7 linked regions of the Xenopus tropicalis genome follow. The protein of the gene in region 1 interacts with the protein of each later gene in a pairwise test. Links are inferred from orthologs where the notes say so. Each region holds a gene or a part of one and is shown on either strand. Other genes may lie near its edges. The genes, in order: golga2, ccdc150, rgs8, msrb3, cdk18, krt78.2 and thap7.

Region 1 (3,500 bases):
ACAACCAGTTAGATCACCAGTGAAAGTTTGACTGCAAAGGGCAAGTTTTGATGAAAAGTTATAGAATGGTTAACAACACATTTCTTAAAAACCCTGTATAAGGGAAAGTAATGCTATTTTGTGGAGGAGGCACCCCCTTTCCACATACTTTGTATTACTCTGCCACCCGGATCCAGGTGACATGCAGTCTCTTATCCATTAAGCAGGACCAGACTGCGATTTAAAATAGGCCCTGGCATTTCAACAACAGAGGCCCAAACAGCTCCCACCAGCCCAATAAATAGTGAGTGTCTATGGCATCTTACAGCATCCCCCTCTGGCGTTTGCTAGAACCCACAGATTGCCAGTGCAGGCAGCTGCACACGTGTGTACCCCAGTGTGGCTGGCTTCAGAGAGAGTTGGCACACATTGTCTACCTGCAGTTAAAGAAACTGTCATGGGAAAACATGTATTTTCTCAAAACGTATCGGTTAATAGAGCTTCTCCAGCAGAATCCTGCATTGAAATCCATTTTTTTAATGTATTATTTGTGCTCTGATAAACTTCAGTCGCGTTTTACTGCTGAGCTGCAAGTTGGAGTGATATCCCCCCCCCCCCCTCCCAGCAGCCGATCAGCATAACAATGGGAAAGTGGTGGTAGATATGAGAATAGCACTCAGTAGTGAGAAATGCAAGTCCGGCTCATGACTCCTCCAGTTACACAGGAGTAAGAGAAACTATAGCTTAACTGAACTTACATACACATATCCATGTTAAGCTGGCCATACACAGGCAGATCCGCTCGCTTGGCGATGTCGCCAAGCGAGCGGATCTTCACCCGATATCTCCACCTACGGGTGGCGATATCGGGGAGGCATGTAGGTGAATTCGATCATTTGGCCCTGGGGCCAAACGATCGAATTCTGTATGCGGCAATGGGGCAGTCGGTTCGGGGACCGCATCAACGAGCCGATGCGGTCCCAGATCAGACTGGATTTTCTAACCTGGCAGATCGATATCTGGCCAATTTCAGGCCAGATATCAGTCGGCCAGGCCCCTCGTTTCTGACCCTACACTGGCCGATAAGCTGCCGAGTCGTTCCAAGGGACCGATATCGGCAGCTTCTATCGGCCCGTGTATGGGGGGCTTAAGAATGGAGCACTCGCAGGACCCAAGAATGATTGAAAAAAATTGTCATTGAGCCAATGCCGTCCCCAGACAAAAGGGAAAATCAAATCTGTCCAATTGACACCTGCCCGAAACATTAAAGCAACTACATCTCGGTAACCATCATACTGGTGTGGGACCTGTTATCCAGAATGCTTGGGACCTGGGTTCTTTTTTTTGATAATTTGGATCTCCATTCCTTGCTTAAAATCATTTACATTTTAAATAAACCCAGTGGGATTGTTTGGCCCCCAAGAAAGGATTCATTCTATCGAGGTTGGAATTAAAAACAAGGTACTGTTTTATTATTACATAGAAAAAGAAAACATGTTTTACAATTCTGAATTATTGGATTAAAATCGAGCCTATGGAAGCTGACCTAGCTAAAATATCTACACAGTATATATTTTACCCCACAATGGTTACATAGAATCAACCCAAATATAGAGCAAACATGCCCCAAATTTTCTGCCCCAGTAGCAGACCATATTCACATGGTGTGGACTTGCCCACAGTTACAACTATTCTGGCACCAGATATCACAAACTATTCAAGCTAGGACAAACCTAGTGGTACCAGTGAACCCTTTAATCATGCTCCTAAACCGGGTGCAGGAAACTACCACTAGGAGAAGCCCAATGTACACTCCTCTCAATACTACTTATGAATGCTAAAAAGGCCATTGCACTTCATTGGAAGGCTACCACCAATCCTACAATCTGGGTAGAGATTATCAATAAAGCGATACTACTGTACAAAATAACCTGTATGAGACAAAACGGTCTAGATAAATTCTACATGGTTTGGGGAGACTGGATTGAATTTGGTGATGCTGTGCAATCCCCTCCCCTCCCTTACAACCCTATATCCAACTATATCCCAACCCTACAAACATCCATCTATCATCACTTTAATTCTTGTCTGATAGACTTGGAAGGTTCCTAGCCACAGGTATACTTAACCCCACGGACTGTTTCCCAAAAAAAAAGACACTACACAATCAAAATTATGCATTGTCCATTTTATTTCTGTTTGTGTTAATTTCTTATGTTTCTCTTTCTTTATCTGTTCATTAATAACAAAAAGAAAAAAACGCAAATGTACCACTGTAAATTTCATGTATATTTCATTAAACTGATTTAAAAAAAAAAAAAAAAAAATTGAGCCTATGGGAGATGACGGGTTTCGAGATAACAGATCCTATACCTGTACTAACTTTTATTCAGAGTGTCGCAGAAAGGTATTCTTGCCGTAGCCCTGGGAAGTTTCATGAGATAACTGTATGACCTGGTTTGCTTCCCTTTTAACCACAGCTATGCATGGTATAACTGACATTGTCACGTTTTCTCCACAGCTAAAGGAGTTTCAGCAGAAGGCGACCGTTCCGGCGCCAACAGGAGGCAAGAAAAAGAAAAAGTCCAAAGAATCTGATCCTGATAACCCAGCACGGCTCTCTCCAGACCCAGTGAGTGAAGCAAACATTCATTGATCATCCTGCCCTGTGCAGGGTAACGCTCCGCTGCATTTGTATGGCAATGCGAAATAAACGGAGGTGGCAGACTTCTTGCTTTTCATTGCGTAAAGTCTTTCTTTCTGCCTTTCCAAAATGAGCAAATGTCTTTTCTCCTTCTCTCTTCTCTGTCTCCTTTTATCTTCTACTTTTAGATACAGGCCTTTCTGAAGGGGCTGGTGTCAGATCTTCATAGATCCAATGGGGTATCAATCCCTTCACTGGCCACTATGAAGGTGAGCCGGCCTGGAAAGGCTGCTGGCTATGTGCTTTACCTTTTTGCTGGTCTTGCAAAACTCACAGCTATTTCATTTTTATCTCATTGCAGTTTTTAATTTATGTTGCCTGGTGGAATTAGTTTTTTCCCGTGCAATGTAAATGTGTAATGGATCCTTACTTGCGTGTTTTGGTTTATTACAAGGTGGACTTTCCCTTAAAAGTGGTGGTTACCTTTAGGTTAACTTTTTATATATTATAGAATGACCTATTCTTAGCAAGTTTGCAGTTGGTCTTCATTTTTACTTTTAATATAGTTTTTGAATTATTTGCTTTCTCTTCTGACTCTTTCCAGTTTTTTAAAGGAGAAGGAAAGGCTAAGTCACTTGGGGGTGCCAAAATGTTAAGCACCCCCAAGTGACTTAGATCGCTTACCTTGTACCCTGGGCTGGTGCCCCTGTTAGGAGAAAAAAGCACCAGCCCAGGGTACCTGTAGCAAGCGCTTCCTCCTTCCTCTCTCTTCTCCCGGCGAAATCCGTCGGCCGGCGCATGCGCAGTAGAGTAAAAAGCCGACTTTGTTTTTTAAATTCGGCTTTTCACTCTACTGCGCATGCGTGCGCGGCGCTAC
Region 2 (4,035 bases), on another chromosome or scaffold:
TAGTCTAATACCGATGAGAGAATATCTGAAAATATAATTATAATGAGCATATTGCTTTGAACAAAGCTGACAGGAAGGACTTAAACTGCACATGCTTTTATGGAACAATACGTGAGGGAAGCTAAAAGGAAATTGAATCTGAATGAAATCCAATCTGAATACAAGCAAAAAAGAAGCAAAGGATTGCAGCAGTCACAGTGGGACGCACGACAGGGAAAGGACCGGCTGTTTACTGATAGAATTGTTACAGAACATAGAGAAGATCAAGGAGTCTGATAACAGGTGCATGTCTACTCTCTCAACTAAACTGTAAGTTCACAGTTCTAGTACATAATTACATTATACTATATTAAACTATATTCATCAGAAGCATAAAGAGTATCTGTCTCTCTAAAAATATTTGTCTGTTGCAGTTCTGGTCCATAATTATATTTTTTTGGATCTGTTGCTGCTGCTCTATCTAGAATCTGAGATTTATGTTTGTGTGTACCCTGCACTAGTAAAAATAATGCACCTGCGTGTTTGCTTTGGATGCACTACTGTAGACTGTCCTCAGGAGCTCTAAAGTCTTTTTCTTCCCTAAGGGGTCCTACCTCAATCACTCTTTGCCTTAATTAAAATGTACCTTTCATAATTATACACATCAATTAGGATACATACTGTGCAGGCATTAAATACATGCTGGTTTATTGTACAACAACGGAAGTGTTGGTTTCAGCTGTGGGAGAGGTCAGCGCTGTGGGAGGGGTCAGCAGTAGTGATGTGCGGGTTGAAAAAAATTTGACCCACACCTGATCCTAATCTGCTCTCTAGCTACCTGCACCTTACCTGGGCTGCCTGCTATAGACTTCGGCATCCCAGGTTTACTAGCAGTGACAGGTGACATTCCCTTCAATGGCAGGCATTTCAAAAAAGTTTTTGAATCCCTGTTGGTGTAATTTCTGGTGTTCGGCGAGAGAGTGGTGCATATGCCCAATTCTCTAGACACGAGTGTGCTTTTGCTGTTGACGCAGGGCACTGAGAAAACCCTTGAGCTACATCCAGGTCCCAATGTGGCAGTAGCTTCAGGGTTCCCCTGTGCAGCAGCACTTGATTCAGAAAAGGAAGCAGGAGGAAGTTAGCGGCTGTTAGTGGAGTGAAACTATAGGCAGTGCAAGGAGCATATAATGTTTTATTTTATATGCAACTAATGTGGAGGAATTTGCCTTTGTTTTTTCCCCTTGCCCAAGTAGGAGTTTTGAGCAGACAAAAAAAAAAACTGAAAGCGCATGCCTGTGGACTATCATGCCCTGAAAACTGAGACTGTCCCACAAAAAGCAGGACAGTTGGTAAGTATGTCATAGAAGCAGAATTATGATGCCTATGACTGATGATAAGCCCCCTCAGAGAGTCCCAGTAGAGACTCCTGTGTGGTAGTGCAAATTGCTAAATTTGTAGGGTTGACATAAAGGCCAACAAAAATAGTAAACTATTGACACTATCCTCCACTATCCTGCATTATTAGTGTCTTTCGTTTACTATTTTTGTCCATCTAATGGTTAAAACAGGGATTGTTTTCAGGCCCATTGTACATTGCTCTTTTGTGTACTCTTGTGTTTTTTTCTTGACAGATGATGGATCGAACAGTGATCTCTCCTCTCAATATCCACCCCACAGCCCCTGAGACATTCTCTGTACTGCAGCAGAGAATGTGTGTGGCAGAAGAGCAGACAGAAGCATTAATTAGTGACTTGAGAGCACTTGGTGTTAGCAGTGAGAGGTCAGTGTCTGTCCTATAACAAGACCATAAAGTCAAACTCACTATATACTATATAGTTAATGTGTGGTTTTATCAGTACACTCTAAGTTCATTTGTAATTGTATAGGAAGGCTGATATATATAAAATACCCTTTATAAAGTTACTTAGAATTGGTTGATTTGTAACATACTAAAAAATTATTTAAAGAAGAATCTCACCTTTAAAGCTTTCTCACATTGGAGCTCATTTAACAAGAGTGGGCAAATTTGCCCATGGGCAGTAACCCATAGCAACCCATCAGTGATTACCTTTTTTCAGCCAGCTGCAGGTAGAACAATGAATGTAATAATTTGGTTGCCATGGATTACTGCCCATGGGCAAATTTGCCCACTGTTGATAAATTACCCCCATTGTCTTTTAAGGGCATGCTAACACGATATTCCTACCTGTCCTTATTCCTTTTAAAGGAACAGTAACACCAAAAAATGAAAGTGTATAAAAATAATTAATATATTATATACTATTGCTCTGCACTGGTAAAAGTTGTGTGTTTTCTTCATAAACACTACTACAGTTTATATAAATACCCTGCTGTGTAGCCATGGGGCAGCCATTTAAATTGAAAAAAGGAGAAAAGGCACAGGTTACTAAGCAGATAACAGATAAGTAGCATAGATTCCCATTGTATTGTACACAGTTTATCTGGTATCTTCTTATGTAACCTGTGCCTTTTCTCCTTTTTTCAATTTAAATGGCTGCCCCCATGGCTACACAGCAGCTATTTCTATTAACTACAGTAGTCTTTCTGAAGCAAACACGCAACTTTTACCAGTGCAGGGCAACAGTACATTATATTTTAATTATTTTAAAACATTTTTATTTTTTAGTGTTACTGTTCCTTTAAGTTACTAGCTCATTGAGAGAATTTCAGGCCCGCACATCACTAGTTTGTGCACAGTTTTTTGGCGTACTGCACAGTGCCAACACAGCCCTATTAGCAGCTTGGGTTACTATGCTGTTCTGTATGTTCTCAAAGAACAGAAGGTAGAGAATGAATGTAACTAGAATGATTTTCTAATAACATCCTAGGATACATAGGCAGCAGTTAAAATACATATTATGACACAGAAAAAGCAAGCTCAAAATAGCACAGTTCTTCCTTTTCACTTCAGCACTGCAGTGTATATTATTTGTTGCAGATTTGAGAGTAAAGACTTTGCAAATCAAAAGCCTGCTCACATCATGCGGCCAGTCAGTCCTCTAAAGGCAAGGTTAGCATTTACAGGGGACAATGATACATTGTGGAAGAACTGCGAGAATCTGGTAAATCGCATGTGCCATATTGAAAGCGTAATGCAGACACTAAAGCTCAGTGTCTTTCGAATGCAGACTGAGCTGAAACTGAATCCAAAGCACACAGGTAAGTAGTTATTTGTTTCCAATAACCACAAAAAGGTCAATGACAATTTTACAAATGCTTTGGGTTGAAAAACCCAACATACTGTTCTTCCACTTCAGTTTATTCTTCCGCTTTTTCTTCTTCTTCTTAACGCCCCCATTTTCTAAACACTACTCCTCCTACAGTTTTAGGGGTACAACACCCAAACTCTCCACACTTCTTTGTCCTCTAGGGGAGCAGGTTGCTTATGCTTTTCTAAGAGATCCCGGCCCCCGAATTTTTGTGAACACCCCAATTTTCCCCTTGACTTTGACAGGAAAGATTTTCAAACTGCTGCCACCCTTACAGCTTTGAAGCGACACCCCCCAAACTTGAATAACATAATCATGGGGTCACCCCAAACGAAACAGCGACATTTGTTGGATGACCCAAAGTGGGAGGGGCCAACAACAGCCAATCAAATTTCACCCATTGACTTTAATGGGGAAATTTAAACTGCTGCCACTCACACTTACAGCTTTGAGGCTGCACCTCCCAAACTTGAATCACATAGTCATGGGGTCAGCCTGAATGAAAATATGATGATTGTTGGATGCCCAAAAGAGGGCGGAGCTGGGATAAGCCAATCAGATTTTACCTATTGACTTGGCGGAAATTCAACCTGCTGCCATTCTCACAGTAATAACACCAGGGTCCCCAAACTTTGCAGAGTTAGGCACCAGGTAACTGCGGTTCAAGGTTAGAAAAAGTGGGCAGACCACCAACAGCCAATCAGATTTTACCTATTGACTTTCAATTGGGAAATTCAACCTGCTGCCATTCTCACAGTATTAACAACAGGGTTCCCAAACTTTTCACAGTTGGTCACTAGGGGACTGTAGTCCCACAATTTTTATG
Region 3 (3,987 bases), on another chromosome or scaffold:
ACTTATTAAATTAGCCTAAGTGTATGTAAAAACAATAGGGCACTCACATTGTAAATTCCATTGAGGCAGAGACTTATGTGAACAATAAACAATCTCTGTAAAGTGATGCAAAATAAAAAATAGATACAGTAATAGCAAAGGAAGTCTAAGTGCTAAACATGAACTGTCATTCAGCAGACTAGGCACCCAGTGATTCAGTTATATCAGTTCTGCATTTCCAAATGAGGAAATGAAAAGTGGATGGATGTTTGGAATGAATATGAAGAAATCAATGGTCAGGGCAGTTCTTGGAGTCTTGTGTAGATTCTTATACATTTAAAACCCTTGGTCTGACAAATACTTGCTCAAAGAAGCAGTCAATAAGAGCTCTGCATTCTAATGCATTAGGAGATTCCTTGACTGGAAAAGCACAGTCAAAAGATGAATGTTGAGAGGCCTGGAAATCCAGTGGCCCAGATGTGCCAAAAGTAATTTAGGAGATTAAAGAGAATATTAGATGGGAAAACTACCCTCCAAGCAACAAAGCCCTGTTCTGTGCTTCATCTTTCCCTGAAGAAGAAAGAGGAATATGATAGCTGACTAGCTGAACCAGGCTCTGTGATCCAGGCGGGGTCCATATACATTGTTAACCATTGATAGAAATGCAAGTTTTAAAAAAATTGTTTTTACTTAATGTAAAGCAAAAGATTTGTAAATTCAAGTAGAACCAACAACCTAGTAACAAGACTCTATGCAAATCTTCCAATGGCAAGTCCCTCCTGTTAGCCAGTGAATTTCTGTAGGCAAATAAATGCCATGGCATCTAAAAGTTAAGGTGGCCGACTGCTGACCGCTCAATGGCCAAACTATTTGAAGCTTAGGGGAGGCATTTAAAGGAATGTGGGTGCCAACATCATATTACAGGGATAGCCCTGAAGGTGCTAGGCACTAAATTGAAAATTAAAAGTAATCCCATTAGTATTTTAACAAATTATCAGATGACTATCCTTTAAAATGAAAAATCTTCAAATGTAACAGATGTGAGCTAATACATGCTAATGCCAAGGGAGATCTGTCATTTCTATGTTTGTTCTGCTTCAGAGCCTGTGCTCGTATCACTTTAATGTCTCTGCCTTATGAACTGATTCCTTCTGACTGCTATTCCCACAGCTCTTCCCTTTCTCTCTTCTCTCTCTCTGCGTTTCCCTCATTCTCCAGGGTTTCTCCATGTAGAAAAGCTGCAGATTTCTCTCCTTGTTACACTGTTATCTCTTGATGGCAGAACAGCAATGGATTATAACTGATCTTTAAAGCTAATGCTAAACCTGTAGTCCATTACTCACTGCAGAGGCTCCTCAATGCCTCTATAAATAGGTGCAAGAGGCGGAGAGGTTATGATGCCTGAAACAGACATCATGTGACAATGAGTGTTTTGGTACCCGTGCAGCAAGGATAGTGCTATGCATCAGGCAATTGCAAGGGATGGCAGGGTTTATGACAGTGTATCCAAATAGCATTCCACACATCACTTGCATGGACTGAAGGTCTGTCTGGGGGGATTAGCAGGGCTGAGAGTGAGCTGTCACACAAACCAGGGCAGAAGGCTTGGGGGGATTAATTGTTAGGCAGGGGGTCTAGCCTTTCTGAACAATATGCATCAAAGCACCAAACTCCGCTCTCTCAGCCTCAGCTGTCCAACACGTTCAGCCAGCGAAATGGATGCAGCATTGGGGGGTCATGGAACAGGAAAACCGGCAAGACCATGTGGGTCTAATCTGGGGTAAGGATGCCAACCTTCATATCACCCCTTAAATTCCTTTGTTCTTCTTCCCAAAACCTTAAAAACCGTCACCATGTTGTCACTAGTCCATTTAATCTGCATATTCTCCTTTTACAGTCTGTGCAGAATTCCCTATGTTGTAGCCAGTTTTAAATCATTCCAGCCTTGGAAGATCAAATGTCTAAGATCAATGCAAATGATAGTGTATGCAGCTAACATTAATCACCCATCAGTTGCAGTTAACGACATGGTGTGTATCTTAATAATGATTGTAATGCTTTCTGTATTATTGCCATTTTCATTTTCCTTCATAGAAAAAAAACATTCCTATTCTTCCGTTAGGATATTTTAATTCACACTTGCATTCTGCTCACATTTGTGCTGGATAAAACATTCCTTCACCTGAGCGATGACATCAGGGCTGTTGCACACTGCATGTGTATTTATAGGCACAGGACTCAACACCCACATCTTCAGTCTATTCCATCCTTGCTTGTTTGGTTCATTAAATGAAATCTAAGAACTAGAAAAAAAAATCCCATTGCTGTTGGGGCTGATATACTAAATGAACATTGTTGGAGTGGGGCTTTTTGGGCACTGATCATTTATAGTGATTGATGGAATACATATGAATTCCTTATACAGCAGTAACATGAAAAATAAGAGGGCAAAGGGTTGCCGAGATGTTCAGAGCTGCAGGGTCTGCTCTATCAATTTCCTATTTTTCTGCACTAAAAACATATCATTGGAATCAACTGGTTATTGGAGGAATGCAGTTCTGTCTTGTTGTGTATTAGTATAGGTTTAAATATATATATATATATATATATATATATATATATATATATATATATATATATATATATATATATATATATATATGTTTATTGCTGATAACATTGACAAACAATATGCTGATGAGATGATCATTTTAGAAAATCTTTCAGAAAATATCTTCTTAATCAAGTAATAGCGTCAGTTAGATGAGATCTAATACAGTGAGACAGTGGGGGTCATTTGCACCTGGGCTGTTACCCATGGTAACCATTTAGATATTTGATTTAATTGTTCTCCTTGCAGGTGGCTCAAAAAAAAATCACTGGTTGGTTGTTATGAGTTACTGCCCAGGTGCAAATTTGCCCCATATTTATAAATGTGTGACAGATTGTCAGTTACAACTTACTTGTTGGGCTGGGTGTCTCGCAATATAATTGTGAGCAAAATGTGAGAGGCTGAAAGAATGAAACATATTCTGTTATTTGTTAGAACAGAATTCTGCAAAACCTTGCTTTAAGCTGCCTAGATCCAACCAAAATACTCATGTAGACATGAAACCATTTCATAACAGGGGTTTTAATTGCAGCATAAAAGATTTTTTATCATTGTAGTTGCTTTCAGTCAGAGCTCAAGGAGAAACATAGCTTCAAATACCACTATCAAGAATAAGTCGACATAAGCCTATGCATACTAAATAGTAGATCAGACTTGAATTTCAAGACAATTCTTCTAAAATATATTCTAAAATATATTGTATTCATAATCTGCTGCCATAGGAGCACCCATAGAAAAGTGATATATTATGCAGTCCCATATGAGGGACCTAATGGGCCTAATGCACCTCTGGCATACCACCATGTTTGCATCATCAGGAATGGGGCCTCAACTAGCTCCCACTGTTTTTAGACCACAATAAGCTTTGCACATATAGTGCATATATTAATGCAGGTTAATACTTGTTATACCTAGGACCAATTTTCCTGCCCAAAAGTGGGTTAAAGGAGAACTATACCCTAAAAATGAATATTGGTAGACATGCCATATTTTAGATGATTAGAATGAACTTATTGAACCAGCCTAAAAGTTCAACATCTCTATAGTAGTAATAATCCAGTCTTTTACAGTTGTCACTGGGGGTGACCATACTGGACATATACTGGACACTTCTGTTAGAAGTGTCTGCAACACTCACACGCTCAGTGTGCTCTGAGCAGCTGTTGAAAAGCTAGGCTTAGGGGTCGACGGAAATTATCAAGCAAAGAAAATGATGTTTGCCTGTCATATAAGCTGATCCTAACGGGCTGATGATTAAAGTCTGATGCTAATAGCACTGGTTTCAGAGCTGCCATGCAGTAATCATCTGTGTTAATAACTAAGCAGCCTTATATTGTGACATTTATATCATATATATGCAGTATATTGTCGGTCCCTAAACTCATTAACTGACAGCA
Region 4 (3,078 bases), on another chromosome or scaffold:
TCTAGTTATCGTTAATGTTCACCCACTTCAGCTAGCACACTTTGGTTGCTGTTTGAACCTTAAAAATAGGAGTGCATAGGAACCATTATCCCATACTGAGGTGTTATACATTTAAAAATCACTACCAAGTCTACAGTTACAGTTAGGGTTATAAGTGTTTGCAAATGCTAATCACATTTACATAGTCAGAAGGAGAACATTAAGAATGTAGTTATTTAGGACATTTGCTAAGTTGAAGAAGCAGCAGCAAGCAAGCCCCAAAGTTGAGCTCGAGAAACAACCATGGAGATCCTGGTATTGTAAAACAATATGCATTTGGTCTTTCTTTTATAATTGGTGGCAACTAGAATGTGGTAGGGATGATAGAATGGAATATGAAAATGAATGGAGAGTAAAACAAAATACTAATTATTCTAATAATCTCACCATCAGGATCTATGCTTTAGCAAAGTTACCGATGCTAGTAGTGAACAGCAACCAGAAAAAAAGATACATTTTCAGTATAGAATGTGGCAAAACCACATCTAAATTAAGAACCAGCTTGGACAACTGGTATGCCTTCTTTGTAACATGAGTTTAATGGAAAGGAATGGTTCCAAACATCATTTTTGTCTACTGTTTAATCTTGAAAAAACTATGTATGATTTCTTCAGCTAAACAGGCCAAGCAGAGAGACTAAAGCAACTCTATGTTTGGTCCTTGCAAGCTAGATTGTTAGATGCACAGATAACCCCCTGCATAATGGACTATAAGAAACTTCACAAAAGAGGTAGAAGGGAGGGGGTTGTATACTGGTAATCTATTATCTACCTCACAAGCAGCAAGCATGAAGTAGCTTCAGTCACCTTGTTTGACCTGTTTAGCTAAAGAAATAATGAAAACCACAGATTTTTCATTATTAAAACAACAGGCAAAAAGTATGTTCAACCCAAGCCCTATTCATTGAGCTTTTGTTGAACAAAGGGGATACTGCCCCTTTAATTTTATCAGTCTACAAGATACTAAAACTCTTGGCAACAAGTGACAACAGGTACAAATCACTGCATGTGTTCCTAACGCAACTCCTCTGGCCTCACCTTTGTTCTGTTCAATTCAGTCAACTCGTCTTATTTTGCAGTAATATTTGCTACATGGAAAAAGAGTCTACAAAAGTCTACCTGAATTATTCAATTCACCTACTCTGTGTGGCTTCAACTATTCAAAAAAGTTTAACATTAGTAACCAAGTCGGGACATATAGCTAACAGAATAAAGGCAATATTTTTAAATACATCAGGCAAAATGGTGAATGTTAGTTATGTAGTAAATGCAAAATTCAGCAATGGTGCAGGCAGTCCGAGGGAAGGTTGGTTCCCATAGACACAGGCTATAAGAATAATTTGCTAATTCTGTTGTCATGTTTACAGTTCATTCTTTTCAGATGAAGCCGATGTGCTGTCTATGGCGGCATCAGGCACCTCTGGAACAAAGTTTAATGATGCAGAGTTTATACAGTATCTTTTACCAGTAGGACGAGGTCCATCATCAAATATGTGGCCAAGGTGTGCTCCACACTGCAACAGAATACAAAAAAAAGGATGTTACGTTGATGAAAAAAAAACATGGCTGCTGTGAAATACTCAACTGGTAAATAGTAATGCTTGTTTTTATTACAGTAGCAGAATAAATGTATACTTTGACACACCTAAGCGTTAGCGTTTTGCCACTTCCAATACAGAAACATACCAAATGGGCAACCATTCTTTTCATCATCCTTGAAGATGAGTTTGTTGTAACATTACCATATTTTTACTAAATAACTTTATCATATTTCTAACTTTATAACTAGCAAATAAGCAGTTTCTTATGTGGGCTTATGGAATTATGCCATGGGCACGGACAGGTTTTGACCTAAAAATGTTACAGTCATGGCCCAAATTGTTGGCACCCCAGTGCCTTGCATCCCTAAAAGAACCATAGTTTGTGATTATAAGACTCACATAGAGGAACCAGCACAACCCTTTGCCCTCTCTTTGGCCCATTTTGTGACCACAACGATTTTAGCCTATAGAGGCAAACAGTTAACATCATAGGGGCAAGGTGCAAAAAGCTGATACGCTTTGCATCTTTTTTTTTCTTGGAATATTTCTAAATTGATGATACATAATTAAGTCAAGAAAAATAATCCATAATCAAAGGTGAAACTCTGTTTCAGGTAACTAAAAAAAATTCCTATAATTGTTGTACCTGGACTGAAATCTCACTTGTATGACCATGGCATATGGTTTTCACTATTTTTCATGCTCAGTGAAGCATCAAATGATTACTTAAACCCTATTAATTAGAAGATTTGTAATCTTGGAATATTCTTCTCTCATCGGTGTAGAAATGTCTTTACAGGAACAAGCCGAACACTTTTAAAGAGGAGGAAGGAACTAAAACTATAATAAATGCACCTGCACCAAAAGAGTGGGAAGAACCCTTTACTAAGGGAAATCCTCAAGGATGCATATGTCTGTTGGTGTGTGAAACACTATGGGGGGCATTTACTAATGTTCATATTTCTTTTTTCCATTAATCATCAAAATCCCATAACTTCAATTTTTGGTGTAAAAAAAACCCAGTGTTTCATGATTTAAGTATCAAAACCATGAAAAACATTAATACAAAACTTTGCCATCTAAAAGCTGTTGAGGTCATGTAGAAGGATGGGAACGGGAGTTGTCCGAGGCAAATAGTAACAATCTTTCTTTAATTTGTCCTTGCAGAAGTTTTCATGGTCTTTTTTTCATTTAACACTCCACGAAGATTCATGGAAAAACCTCTAAAACCAGAAAATGAGAATTTTGATAACTGGACCTCTAAAAGGCACATTTATCAACATTCTGATTTTAGTGGTAGAGTTTTTGAAACTACAAATAAACTCATTTCCACAAAAACCATTTAGTAAAAGATTAGAATATAAAAAGTACAAACAAATTAAAATGCAGAACCAAAATGAAAAAATCTAATCTAAAATTTTTTGTTTTCATAAGAATATTTTTTAGTTTATAAGTGAAAAAAATCCCCAAAACCACACATTAAATAAAGATTGTCAGAA
Region 5 (3,989 bases), on another chromosome or scaffold:
CCTTTAAGTGATTCACCTTATGAATAGAGCTTACTGAACCAGCCCAGAGGTACATCAACCCAATGAAACTGAAGGCTGATGTCTGCAAATTTGTCACTGATGTTCTGATTTCTTAATTTGGCTGTGTCCCTGGACATTGTCATTTTTACTGTGTTACTTTTGTTTGTTTTTGTGTCATCCTTTTTAATAAGGTTGGCAAATTAGATCAAACAGGAGAAACATCTGCAACTAGGAATGAGTTGTGACAGTGACAATATGTTTTAGTTTTGCTGTCTGTCAACACAAAAAGTATCTCTACTTTTGACCCACTAATCCAACCTGAAAAGAAAGAGCTGACACTCTGTATTTTTTCTATTTTCCTATATGGCAAAAAATGAGCATAAACTGGATGAGTTCTTGAACAAGCATAGTATCCAAGGCTATGGTGATACTAATATCTACGGTTAGTATTATTGGTTGCATATAAAGTTTATGTATGTGATAGTATAGATTGGTAAGTATAGGTTGTGTGTGCTGGGTTTACTTGGAAGGGTTGAACTTGATGGACTCTGGTCTTTTTTCAACCCTATGTAACTAACTATGTAACTATTTGCGCTTGTGTTAGTGGATTACACTTTTCAAATAGCCATATAATAAAATAAGGGAGAAGGAGTGACTGAGTGTGTAGGTCTCAGCACTCCAGGTCAAGTTAGATTACTAACACCTCTTTTAGCTCCATGGGAATGTCAGCAAATCCCTCTATGCCTCAGGCAACAAACTTAAAAGGTAGGCTCTATAGGGAGAGGACCTCTGGATGGAAATGCTGTGTACACTTAGAAGCATGATAAAAATGTAATATACCGTATATACTCGAGTATAAGCCGAGTTTTTCAACACCAAAAATGTGCTGAAAAATTAAACCTTGGCTTATACTCGAGTTGGGAGAAATACACGCCGTTTTTAAAAGAAAGCCTGACCTGCACAACCCCTTCCAGCGCCAGCTTCACCCGCACTGCCAGGCCCCCCAGACTACCTAATAGTTCGGTCTTCTGTGCTCCTGGGAGGGAAGTGGGCGGAAGGGACGTCACGCGCCACCTTGCCGATTCTCCTGCACAACCCCTTCCAGCGATTGGGGTTACAATTCCTGCTCCCGCCAGCTTCAACCGCACTGCCAGGCCCCCCAGACTACCTAATAGTTCGGTCTTCTGTGCTCCTGGGATGGAAGTGACACCACGCGCCCCCTTGCCGATTCTCTTGATGATTGATGTAACTGAAGGATCGGCAGTTGTCCTTCCCAGCTTGGTAAATGTCTTCACTTGTGTGTTTGTGAGGCCTCAATAGGCATGTGTCTGCAGGCAGGGTTATTTGGGCAGGGACCTTATGCATTAATTGGCCTGTGCAGAAGGGGTGGGGTGGAATGTAGACCAAACACAATGTGACCAAAAGAAAGAATAGAATTTCTTTTATGTTAAGGGGGGCTTTTGTGTGTTATAATGGTGGAAAGAGAGAAAGTAGGGAAGGGAAGGGAAGGCAGCTGTATAGTTCAGTCTGGAAAGTAAGTCTTAACCCGCAACTGCACTGTTGCTTGGCTGAAGATACTAAAAGTATTATTTCCCGTTGGTGTATTAATGTACTTATGCAGTGTGATCACTATGCCTGTCGCCATCATACAGATGTTATTCTCCAGTGGGGATAGAAATCTCAACATCCCTTATGCCTCAATAAATGTCATTTTATTGGTATTTATTTTAATTATTGAAACTTAGCGATAGCTGCTGCATTTCCCACCCTAGGCTTATACTCGAGTCAATAAGTTTTTCCAGTTTTCTTAGGTAAAATTAGGTACCTCGGCTTATATTCGGATTGGCTTATACTCGAGTATATACGGTAGTTTGTTTCCATTCTTTGGAAATCTTAAAAATTGTCCTGGACACAAATCAAAACCTCAGTGTGCATACCATGTAGATGTGCATAAATGCACTTAACTGGTAATTATATATGCCTACAGTATACTACCAACACCACTGCTATCTTGATTTTCCCTTCACATGCAGGCTGATATGTTTCTACAATAATAAATATATTAAAAACTCAACAAAATTAAAATAAGAGGAATATGCAATGTTATTGTAAATTATACATTAAAATTCATGTATTCATGATCGCTTGAAAAGTGACATAATAGCAAAGACTCATATGTGGTTTTCTAGTAACCAACCTTAACACACTCAGCCTTTAGCACTTACCTTCACCGCACCGGCTATTCAGCTGATTATATTCCTCAATAGTTTCTGGCCGAGGGACAGAGAGGGAGAATCGACGCTTAAAATTCTTCACCTTGTTCATGGTGATGGTGCTGACCTGAAGGTTAAAGAGAACGGTGGAGTGTAAATGTGGGAAGGCTCTGGGAAAAACAAAGGCAACCTGTATGTGCCTGGATGTGGAATGAAATGAAGAAGCTGTGCATTGAATCAGAGAGGCATCATAAACACTGTCTGTGTATCAGGCTTTAGCAAGTGAGGCTCTCATTAGTAAGACAGAGATTGTTATGATATCTGTGCATTAGGTAAAAAGGATTTGGCCAGGCTGAGAGCTAGCTGTGCAAAATGCAGAAAGAAGTACAGGCTGGCTCCGTAGAAATCAGAGTGAGGGTAAGTGTGGGAGGGTTGCATCTGCTGCATCTCTTATCAATGTCTTGTAGATATGATAGGAGGATCTCAGATTGTCCCTTCTCTGCAAATGAAGGCAACGTGTCATTGGCAGATTGCAAGCTCTTCAGGACATAAACCCCTCCCATCCTACTGTTGATATACATGTGTCCTGTTCTCACTTTTGCAAAAGGTCTACATTCCTTCTGCTTCAGATTCTATATAGCTGACACTAAAGAACAGGAAGTGGCTGCAGGTTCATTAAAGGAAATCTGTTGAAGCAAAAAAAAAAAAAATACAATTTCCTAGAATAAACCTGCAGTTAGTAAGATCTTTGCATTTACAGAATATCGCTCATTGTTTACTATCACCTTGTTTTTAACAGGGGTCTAGAAAGAATATAAATTAGAGCTGCCCGTCTTTAATCCCTTCAGCTACTGTAGAACTCCAACTCCCAGAATTCCTACAGAGCCAAAGAGTGACTAATACATATATTTTTTAAACTTTGCACAGTAGTTGCTGTTTATTGCTTCCATTTTTGGCAGTGGGCGTGTTAATGAACTCAGTGCCTCCTTGCTAGGTGTAACTACTTCTGCTTTATTTCAATAAATGTCTATCTCTCTGTATATACTTTATATGAGAAATGTGCCTCTTATTTTAAAGACCAAATCCAGACTTGGGCTTCAGATAAACAAGTTCAAAAATACAGTATATGTGTAAAGGTCACCATGCACAGGCAAATTTTTAAAAGATTTGTTCCTTATTGTATGTTGACATCAAAAAAGAACATTTAAAATATAGTAGCCCAAACTAGAAGAGAATATATATAATTATTTACTGCTATAATTCTTTTTAAATGAACATTTGTACCACATAATGGTACAGTACATGCAACCTCTGACACCTGTCATCGAAGCACTGCCCCATACGTACAGTTTCCAAATTGTTAAGAGATTGTAACCTGTCCATCCTATTAACGGACAAATGTAATCCTTTAAAGAAGAAAATTTTAAACCCCTCCCAATCAATTTTCTGACCATGTTGTTTACCTTTCTTCCCTTAGGGGATGGCAATTTAAGCCTCAGGGCTTATGAATTTGGTTCCTAAAAATACGTGTAAGTTTCTAAACTTGTGCATGGTTTCAGAGCTGCCATGCAGTAATAATCTGTAGTATTTATTAATCATCCTTATATTGTGACTTTTATATTCTTTATCTTCAGTATATTGTGAACAGGTAACTAATAGCGCCACAGAGCATGTGCAGTAAATTAGCAGAAAAGATAATGGGGAGCTACTGGGGGCATGTTTAGAGGCAGAGATCTTCCCTGTTGAAGAGCGATGGTTGCCTTGGGCTGGTACAGA
Region 6 (4,201 bases), on another chromosome or scaffold:
GCTGAGTAGGTTTAATCACAAAGGTTATAGACTGCATTATGTTCAAAACAGTTACAAGGCCTTAAGAGAATGTAGTTTTAACAAATTAGTCTTGTAAGTAAAAGTTATGTTCTAAAAGTGATAGTAACTGTTAGTAAGTTTAAGGCAGATGTATTATAAAGAAACTTTTCAATTAGTCTAAATCTTTTATTTTTTATTTTGTGTCATTTATAAGCTTTGCTATTCTGCTTCTTCTCAGCCAGCAATGACACAATGCCTTCTGGTTGTCTCAGCAAGGCAAAACCATCCTGACTGTAAAGCTGGATATACACATAAAGACCTGTTAGTTTGGCAAGTTACCAATCTTTGCCCACTTTAACCATCCACATGCTGGGCCAAATTAAGTAGATCTAACTGTTTCCTCCTGCAACAGTGCTGGCCATCAGTAGAGGTTCATCCTGTGTTTACACAGCCATTCTTTACTATCTTCTGTGATTACACCCAAGCTTCTCTTCACTGGTGCAATGCATTCACTACCTACCTTTTTGAGCACTACAAATTCATTTTCGGCAGTTGTGCGCTTGTTGATTTCATCCTCATATCTACAGAGATGAAACAAATTAGACCACACATTTAACCCACACAGTGACTTGACCTATAGAGCAATGTATAACTCGTTGCCATTATTTTATTCAACCCTAGAAGAGCACATATTCATTTTTAAAACATTAATACCCCTTTGATCCTAATCACTTGATCTATGTATGTTCTCAGTACTTTACGTTTGTATAGACACTGGGTGGACTAGTTATTTCTCTAGCTTTCAGCTACAATTAAACACATCAGGAAAAATAAAGTGCTGAGATCTAAAAAGTAACATATTGTGATTTTGTAAATAAGTAACCCCCTAGCACGACAGCCAATGCATTTAAAGAACTGTCACAAGCAAGGAAGAATGTATTTTGCAATCATTTCTGAACTTCACAGCTCTGTGGTACTAAGCACTCCAAAATTGCACAAAAAGTAGCATATACACAATAGCCAGTCTAAAGGACTTTTGTAGATTTGGAAGAGGGAACATCCCATTAGCTCCCATTAGTAATTTACTAAGCAGTGTTACACAATGGTTGTTATGATCAAAACCATGGCTGGCCAACTAGACACATAAGGGTATGGACGTCTAAGAGATTTTTGTTGGCACCCAGGACAAGTACAGTCTACATGGACCTCTTTGTATGACATCACTGTTTTTTTTAATAATCCCTCCCCCAAGCATGGAAAATAGTAAATAGCTGGTGCACAGCATCAAAACGATGGGATAACATTAATGCAAACAGCTAATTTAGTTGTAGTAATTAGCATGCTTATACCTGTAAATAAATACAGGTATGGGATCCCTTAGGGATTTATCCAGAAAGCTCCAAATGAGTCCAATTTAATCAAATTATTACAATTTTTCAAAAATACTTCCTTTTCTCTGTAATAATAAAACAGTACCTTGTATTGATGGCAACTGAACAATCCAACTGAATCCATATTGGTGTCAAAACAATCCTATTGCCTTTGTTTTAGTGTTTTTAAGGAGTCAAAAGGTTTCAAGATCCAAATTACAGAAAAAAAAAACTTCAGGTCCCAAGCATTCTGGATAACAGATGCCATACTATACTGTATTTATAATTACCCATACCTCATATCTGTATCTAGCCTAATAGCTTAACAGCCATGCCAACTTACTTGTTTTTGTAATCCTCTACCAAATCTTGAGTGCTTCTCAGGTCTGATTCCAAGCGGTGTTTGTCATTAAGCAGCGAATCCAATGAACGTCTCAGATTGCTGATGTAAGCTTCAAAGAGAGGTACAATGTTGCTTCTCTTTGTAACCCCTTTTTGCCCATGTTCTTGCAAGAGTTCCCATTTTGTCTTCAATACTTGATTTTGCTGCTCCAAAAATCTCGTCTATAACAACAAAGCAAACCAAAATGCATGAATAATGTTACTGTCAGCGATGCATCTGCAAATTTTGTACAGGGTTTTTTTTATATAAAGAAATTAAAATGTTCTTCACCTTGTCAATGAAGGAGGCAAATTTGTTGTTGAGGGTCTTAATCTGCTCCCTTTCCTCTGTCCTCACTTTTTGAATTGCTGGATCAATTTCCAGATTTAACGGTGCCAGAAGACTCTGGTTAATGGTCACTTCCTGAATTCCACCAGGAGGGCATACAGGAAAATTCATGCCTCCAAAACCTCCATCTATTCCTCCTAGGCCACCGCCAAATCCACCATCACCAAATCCTCCACCTCCAAATCCTCCACCTCCAAATCCTCCACCTCCAAATCCTCCACCACCAAATCCTCCACCTCCTGCCCCACCAAATCCTCCACCTCCTGCCCCACCAAATCCTCCACCTCCTGCCCCACCAAATCCTATACCACCTGCTCCACGAACACTGCCTGAACTAATGGCAGTTTTTCTTGTTCCTCCAAGAGGATGGAGGTTATGGAGGCTTTGAGAACTGAAACTGGCACCTCCACTTTGTATGAATCCTCCCCCACCACCACTAGCACGACCGCCACCCATTCCTTTAGACACAGAAGCTGAACTAAAGCTAATTCTACCTCCACCACCTCTAGCTCCAAGGCCTCCACCACCAAGCGAAGAAGAGCTAAAGCTCTTTGTGCCCGCTACAGACCTACTAGCAAATGACTGCTGACCCCTATTCATTTTGACAGAGGTAAAGAAACAGCTATAAGTAAGAAAGTAATAGCCTAAGATACAGAAGAAGAAGTCAGAATGAAGGGAATCTAAGCCCCTCTGATGAGAAAGCGTTTTCTCCACCTTTTATATAATTTTTAAAAGTGGGTTTGGCTGCCTTGGGAATCAGAAGATCAATTTACTGTAATCATGGGCTTGGCAACTTTGGCATGCCTGGCAGCACATATTTAGTGGATTGATAAATTGGGACACACCTCTTTATGTAAAAAAAAAGGTATTAAAAATTACCTCACTTGAAGGCTTTGGTGTTATGAAATCCTTTCATCTGCTAAATTAAGGATGCATATTGCTAGAGATATTCCAAAAAGATCCTCAGGCTACTTTTTTTTTAATACAAAGCATGCATATTTTACCTGTCTCTTTGTGTTATCCACAAAATTATGTGCCAGCATATTAATATAAATGAATTTAAAAAGCTGACTGAAAAATAAATTGCCGTGAGTCACACTTTTGCCTATCAGCTTATTAGAATGGATTAATAGACTAAATGGCTGCTGTTCAGTCTAGCTTTTATTCATCTACAGTGCACCCAGCTTTCAGTCACTTTGATTTGCTGCATGGTAAGGTACTTGGTAAAGCCAGAAAATTGAAGAGTAGAAGAAGATTCCAACCAGGAGCAGGGAGCAAGACTCCTTCAGTAGGATGAAGTGCAGAAGGAGAAGTCAACCACAGCTGAAATAGCAAGCTACTATTCACCAGGACCTACAGTAGGTATCCAGATGAGCTTGAGAATGTAGTACTGTCGTCCATTGGAAATAGGGAGTAGTAACTCAGATAAGACCCACAGACAAGTGCAGAAACTCAGTTGATGCAGCGAAGAGCTCAAAGCAGGACAGTTACAAAAGCTATAAGGACTACAAAGGATATTGGACATATTGGAGTTCTAAATGTGTCATGTGTTTTTAGTTGCGTATGTTTAAACCAATGATGGTAAAATTTCTTTTAACTTAATCCCTGTAGTGCTGGCTTGACTGCAACAATTATTGCCATCATCTAAGACCCATCAAGAGATGAACATATGACCTGACATTGCATTACTTGGTTGCACAAGCAGATGCTATGGGTGAGGCTCTGTGATGTGCCACTGGAACGACAAGGTTCTGAACAACATATTGAGAATTGTGAAATGTATATTTTGGTAGCTGTCTGTGCTGTATAAGTCACTGGCATAACAGATTTACATTTATTTTTTATTATCATTCTTTTTTAGCACTAACATTTTGGCACAGCACTTTGCAAAAATCTTTTTCAAGTCTATAACTTTCTTCTAATCTTTAGATTGTAAGCTCTTGCAAGTAAGGACATCTGAACCTATTCTAACCCTTGTGTGTTATTTAATTAATCCCTGTAAATAAATGTAAAGCACTGAGTAATTTGCTGGCACTATATAAATAAATGATGATAATACGAGGAAACTAACCCTTGCAAAACTCTTTCTTTTATTCTGTTT
Region 7 (4,176 bases), on another chromosome or scaffold:
GTACATTAGAGGGGATTATAGGCAGATGGGGGATGTTCTTTTTTCCCATAAAAACAATCAGCGCACCAGAGGCCACCCCTTTAGATTAGAGGAACGGAGCTTCCATTTGAAGCAGCGTAGGTGGTTTCTCACGGTGAGGGCAGTGAGGTTGTTACATACATACCGATGGAAAGTTATACCCTTGCGCTTGCTTAGTGCCGTCTGACGGTTGACGCAGTCAGCAGCAGAACATGATCGCACCATTTCGTAGTTTTCAAATAAGAATCTTATCTAAAACAAAAAATAAGGCAAATAAATCTAAACAAAATCACCATAGTTAGATTTTGCTTGCAGTTGAAAATTCCACTCAAGAAGCGACTATTAAAGGAGAAGGAAAGGTAAGCATTAGCAGAAAGGTAAAGTAAATACAGCCATAAGCACTCACAGAAACGCTGCACTGAGTCATCTATTAAAAGAAACACAGGATTTGTTGTCTCCTTTTTTGTAAACATGTTCTCAGGGTATTTGACTCCCTTCTTTAAGAAAAATCCTTCATTCCTGGGGCCAGAGTCTGTGCAGCTCTCTCCTCTCTCCCTTAAGAATTCAAAAAACTCACTCCCCCCACCCTTAAGCTTCTAGGGTTCTTTACTCAGGTATGATAAAGCTGTCTACAGAATAAATATAGCATTCTAGGTGGCACTTTTGTGGCAAATCTATTGGCAGTAAAATGCCAAAATAACTTTCCTTCTCCTTTAAAAAACATCAGAGTAGTTCAGCAAACAGGACAGCATGGATATGAATTCTGCCTTGCAGTACTAAGCTGGATCCAAGCCAGGGCACTATCTGCAAAGACTCTATATTCTTCCTGTGTTAGTGTGGGTTTCCTCCCAGCATTCCAAAAACATACATGGTTCTTGATTAAATGGACCCTTGTGTGCACAAATGTGATAGGGACCTTGGATTATACATTTCACTGGGGCAGGGTCTGAAGTGATTGATGTATAATCTCTATAACACACTGCAGGAATGTGTCAGTGCTATGTAATTACAATTATAGTAAAGAAATAACAAACCTCAATGACTAATACACAGGAGTGCTATTATGAGATAATGCAAAAGGTCTCATTACACAATTTCAATTTATTTTCTTATTCCACTTTTTGTGTTTCTAGTCCAGCAGAAAATGTCAAACCAAAAAGTGAATTCATCTTTTAGTCACTCAGTCAGTGTGAACAGATAATAGTTTAAATACTGGTGAGCTGTATAGCAAAATATTAAATCAATAAGAAATAATGAATGTTAAGTAAGGCAGTCCAACTGCAAATTCTCTCATAACAGCTCTCGTTAGCAGGGCCCTCTAACCCTGCTGTTTATGCTGTTACCCATCCATGTTTACTGTAAGGGCTCTGGCACACGGGGAGATTAGTCGCCCGCGAACAGGGAGTTTTGCCGCGGGCGACTAATCTCCCCGTGTTCCAGAGCCCTAAGACTCCTGATGCTGATTTTATAGAAATAAGTTAGGACATGGATGTAGTGGAACAAGAACACAGCAAAATGATAAATCAATCCAGCCCTTTCCTGGGAGTGCCCCGTACAGTATGCAGCCTTCAGCTGGACAGCCACCTTATATTTTCATCATCCTGAACTTACTAAACATTACTTTTAATGTGAAAATGCATTTTCATGAATGCAACAAATGAAATGCCACCGGAAATATGAAGCTGCACCTAGCTCCGTAGTGAAACTCAGAATAGGCTCGGGCACATCAAGTACAGGTATGGGACCTGTTTTCCAGAATGCTCGAGACCTGGGGTTTTCTGGATAAGGGATCTTTCCGTAATTCTCCATAACTTAAGTCTGTTAAAAATCTTTTAAATATTGTTCTGCCCCCAATAAGGAGTAATTATGTCTTAGTTGGGATCAAGTACAAGCTACTGTTTTATTATTACAGAGAACAAGGAAATCTTTTTTAAAAATTAGAATTATAGGCTTATAATGGAGTCTATGGGAGATGGCCATTCCATAATTCAGAACTTTCTGGATAAGGGGTTTGCAGATAAGGGATCCCATACCTGTACACAGAGGCCCAAAATGACCCCTCCACCACCAGCCCAATAAATAGTGAGTGTCTATGGCATCTTACAGCAGCCTCTCTGGCATTTGCCAGAACCCACAGATTGCCAGTCCGGGCCTGCCTGCTCCCCCCTTCCAACAAGAATGGGTCAAGCTGCTGGCACAGGGTGGCATTGGCACAAACAGCTGGTAGGGTGGGAGCAACCAAAACAACAGGGTGACTGTAATGCTTCCCTTGCATTTTCATATGTTTTTTTGTTTTCGGGTCATCCACTGCTTATATCCCATTCTGCTTTACAAACTACTCCCTGGTTGCTAGGCTAATAATTCTAATAAGACATATACCAGCTGCGATTTGCTTGGAATTCGATACAATGCTACAAAGTTGCTTTTTAGGGAGAGCGGATTTATCTTTGCACATGAAACAGCAGACTTTTTAGCAAGGGATTATCTCACATGACTTCTGCCCACATCACTTCATCCAACTCAAATCACATTTACCTTGGAGTTTCTAACGTTATATAAAGGGTAGAGACAGCAAAGAATATAAGGTGTAAGACTCAACCTCTAACTAAACTGCATCTACCTCCCAACTGTCCCGCTTTTGGCGAGACAGCCCCGACTTTCATAACACAGCCCGCAGTCCCGGATCGCTTCTTAAATGTCCCCCATCGCCGTTTAAATATCCCGCATCGCCGTTTCGATGCCTAGCTCCTGGGCTCCTGTCGGCCTACTTTCCGAGACTTCCGTCACGCTCTCGCGAGATGAGACTGTGACGTCACGGCCAGACACTATATAAACGCAAGGTAGGGCTGCTGCCACTAGGTGGAGTAGCGAGTAGAACGTTGTTTGAGCAGCAGTGCATATAGTTATTACACTGAAACACGCTGATAGTAACACATGGTTTCCCACCATTTATTTTGTTCTGTGCTCACTGTTCTTGCTTGTGTCAATAGCTGCCAGCATTACCAAGTTGTTGAAAAAAAGTATGCCTTCCCCCCCCCTTCTTAGAACTCCCATTTGTGCTATGGAGCAATAATGTTTTCTTGTAAACTAAGAGTACTTGCTGCCACTATAACCTCTGCTTCCAATATTTGACCTACAACAAATTTTCTAAATGAGTTTTTTCACCTTGAATTAACTCTTAGGGGGAGATTTAAAAAGACACGAACGATCGCTCCGAGCGCATTTTCGCCGATTTTTTCGCGCTTACGTGACTTTTTTGTACACTTGCGCGAAAAATTCGGAAAGGTTCTGCCGCTGTTTACAATCGTTCGGTAAGAAAATTTCGTGACTTTCGGATCACCAATACGATATTATCGTGACTAATACGATTTTTTCGCAAGCATTTTCGTGATATTTGCAATCTTCAGAAATTATCGTATCCAATCCGAATTTTTCCCATTCGGGATTTGAACTTGTGTTTTAATGAATCGGCCCCCTAGTATGATGTAGAGAGTAATATTCTGAGACAATTTGCAGTTGGTCTTCATTTTTTTGTTTGTAGTTTTTTTAATAATTTCAATGATTTTTCAGCAACTCTCGGGTTTGGAGTTATAACAGCTATCTGGTTGCTAGGGTCCAAATTACCTTAGCAATCAGGGAGTGGTTTAAATGAGAGCCTGATATATGAGTAGGAGAGGGATTAAATAGAAAAAAAAAGGTTATAAAAAGTAATAATAAGATTGTAGCATCACAGACCAACAGAAGACCAAGTGAAAAGTTGCTTATGTTATGGCTGAGCCAGCACAGCAGGGGTTAACCTGCGGAGTGCAGCAGGTTAACCCCTAGTGGCTAGTACGGTTTCAAGTTGTCCATGACATACTTCATGGGCAGTTTTAAAGACATACTGACACCAGAAATTAAGCTTTTTTTATGTCTATCATAAAATTGTCTTTGAATGCTATTTATAATTTTGCTATAAAAGTATTGGCTTGATGCTCTACCTATCTGATCCCCCATGTTCCTCTGAGGGGGCTGCCATATTAGTGAGGCAGGAGTCTGTTAGCTAGCAATGAGCGAATTTGTCCTGTTTTGCTTCGCTGGAAAATTTGTGAAGCCACAGCTAAATTTGCAAAACGTGTTTGTCGTGAGATTTTTTTGTCGCCCATGCCCATTTTGGCA

What was found.
Region 2: the proteins of golga2 (region 1) and ccdc150 interact in binary tests that used the Homo sapiens proteins (3 or more experiments, as listed by UniProt). The two-hybrid records come from large-scale screens. The link is inferred for Xenopus tropicalis from reciprocal best matches to the Homo sapiens genes GOLGA2 and CCDC150.
Region 3: the proteins of golga2 (region 1) and rgs8 interact in binary tests that used the Homo sapiens proteins (3 or more experiments, as listed by UniProt). The two-hybrid records come from large-scale screens. The link is inferred for Xenopus tropicalis from reciprocal best matches to the Homo sapiens genes GOLGA2 and RGS8.
Region 4: the proteins of golga2 (region 1) and msrb3 interact in binary tests that used the Homo sapiens proteins (3 or more experiments, as listed by UniProt). The two-hybrid records come from large-scale screens. The link is inferred for Xenopus tropicalis from reciprocal best matches to the Homo sapiens genes GOLGA2 and MSRB3.
Region 5: the proteins of golga2 (region 1) and cdk18 interact in binary tests that used the Homo sapiens proteins (3 or more experiments, as listed by UniProt). The two-hybrid records come from large-scale screens. The link is inferred for Xenopus tropicalis from reciprocal best matches to the Homo sapiens genes GOLGA2 and CDK18.
Region 6: the proteins of golga2 (region 1) and krt78.2 interact in binary tests that used the Homo sapiens proteins (3 or more experiments, as listed by UniProt). The two-hybrid records come from large-scale screens. The link is inferred for Xenopus tropicalis from reciprocal best matches to the Homo sapiens genes GOLGA2 and KRT1.
Region 7: the proteins of golga2 (region 1) and thap7 interact in binary tests that used the Homo sapiens proteins (3 or more experiments, as listed by UniProt). The two-hybrid records come from large-scale screens. The link is inferred for Xenopus tropicalis from reciprocal best matches to the Homo sapiens genes GOLGA2 and THAP7.

Annotation. Positions count from the first base shown.
Region 1 is NC_030684.2:22,941,211-22,944,710, reverse strand, and holds part of golga2 (golgin subfamily A member 2), read left to right. Parts: intron 1-2,500; coding exon 2,501-2,611; intron 2,612-2,811; coding exon 2,812-2,892; intron 2,893-3,500. UniProt on the Homo sapiens protein: Peripheral membrane component of the cis-Golgi stack that acts as a membrane skeleton that maintains the structure of the Golgi apparatus, and as a vesicle thether that facilitates vesicle fusion to the Golgi membrane.
Region 2 is NC_030681.2:100,035,247-100,039,281, reverse strand, and holds the start of ccdc150 (coiled-coil domain-containing protein 150), read left to right. Parts: upstream 1-1,235; 5' UTR 1,236-1,268; coding exon 1,269-1,328; intron 1,329-1,610; coding exon 1,611-1,759; intron 1,760-2,938; coding exon 2,939-3,159; intron 3,160-4,035.
Region 3 is NC_030680.2:100,224,642-100,228,628, forward strand, and holds the start of rgs8 (regulator of G-protein signaling 8), read left to right. Parts: upstream 1-1,187; 5' UTR 1,188-1,631; coding exon 1,632-1,759; intron 1,760-3,987. UniProt on the Homo sapiens protein: Regulates G protein-coupled receptor signaling cascades, including signaling via muscarinic acetylcholine receptor CHRM2 and dopamine receptor DRD2.
Region 4 is NC_030679.2:57,611,790-57,614,867, forward strand, and holds part of msrb3 (methionine-R-sulfoxide reductase B3), read right to left. Parts: intron 1,553-3,078; coding exon 1,400-1,552; 3' UTR 1-1,399. UniProt on the Homo sapiens protein: Catalyzes the reduction of free and protein-bound methionine sulfoxide to methionine. Isoform 2 is essential for hearing.
Region 5 is NC_030678.2:73,186,443-73,190,431, reverse strand, and holds the start of cdk18 (cyclin-dependent kinase 18), read right to left. Parts: upstream 2,801-3,989; 5' UTR 2,326-2,800; coding exon 2,226-2,325; intron 1-2,225. UniProt on the Homo sapiens protein: May play a role in signal transduction cascades in terminally differentiated cells.
Region 6 is NC_030678.2:148,011,085-148,015,285, reverse strand, and holds the start of krt78.2 (keratin, type II cytoskeletal), read right to left. Parts: upstream 2,801-4,201; 5' UTR 2,701-2,800; coding exon 2,044-2,700; intron 1,935-2,043; coding exon 1,714-1,934; intron 582-1,713; coding exon 521-581; intron 1-520. UniProt on the Homo sapiens protein: May regulate the activity of kinases such as PKC and SRC via binding to integrin beta-1 (ITB1) and the receptor of activated protein C kinase 1 (RACK1). In complex with C1QBP is a high affinity receptor for kininogen-1/HMWK.
Region 7 is NC_030683.2:102,966,062-102,970,237, reverse strand, and holds the start of thap7 (THAP domain-containing protein 7), read right to left. Parts: upstream 2,801-4,176; 5' UTR 2,639-2,800; intron 2,579-2,638; exon of another isoform or gene 2,554-2,578; intron 271-2,553; 5' UTR 244-270; coding exon 164-243; intron 1-163. UniProt on the Homo sapiens protein: Chromatin-associated, histone tail-binding protein that represses transcription via recruitment of HDAC3 and nuclear hormone receptor corepressors.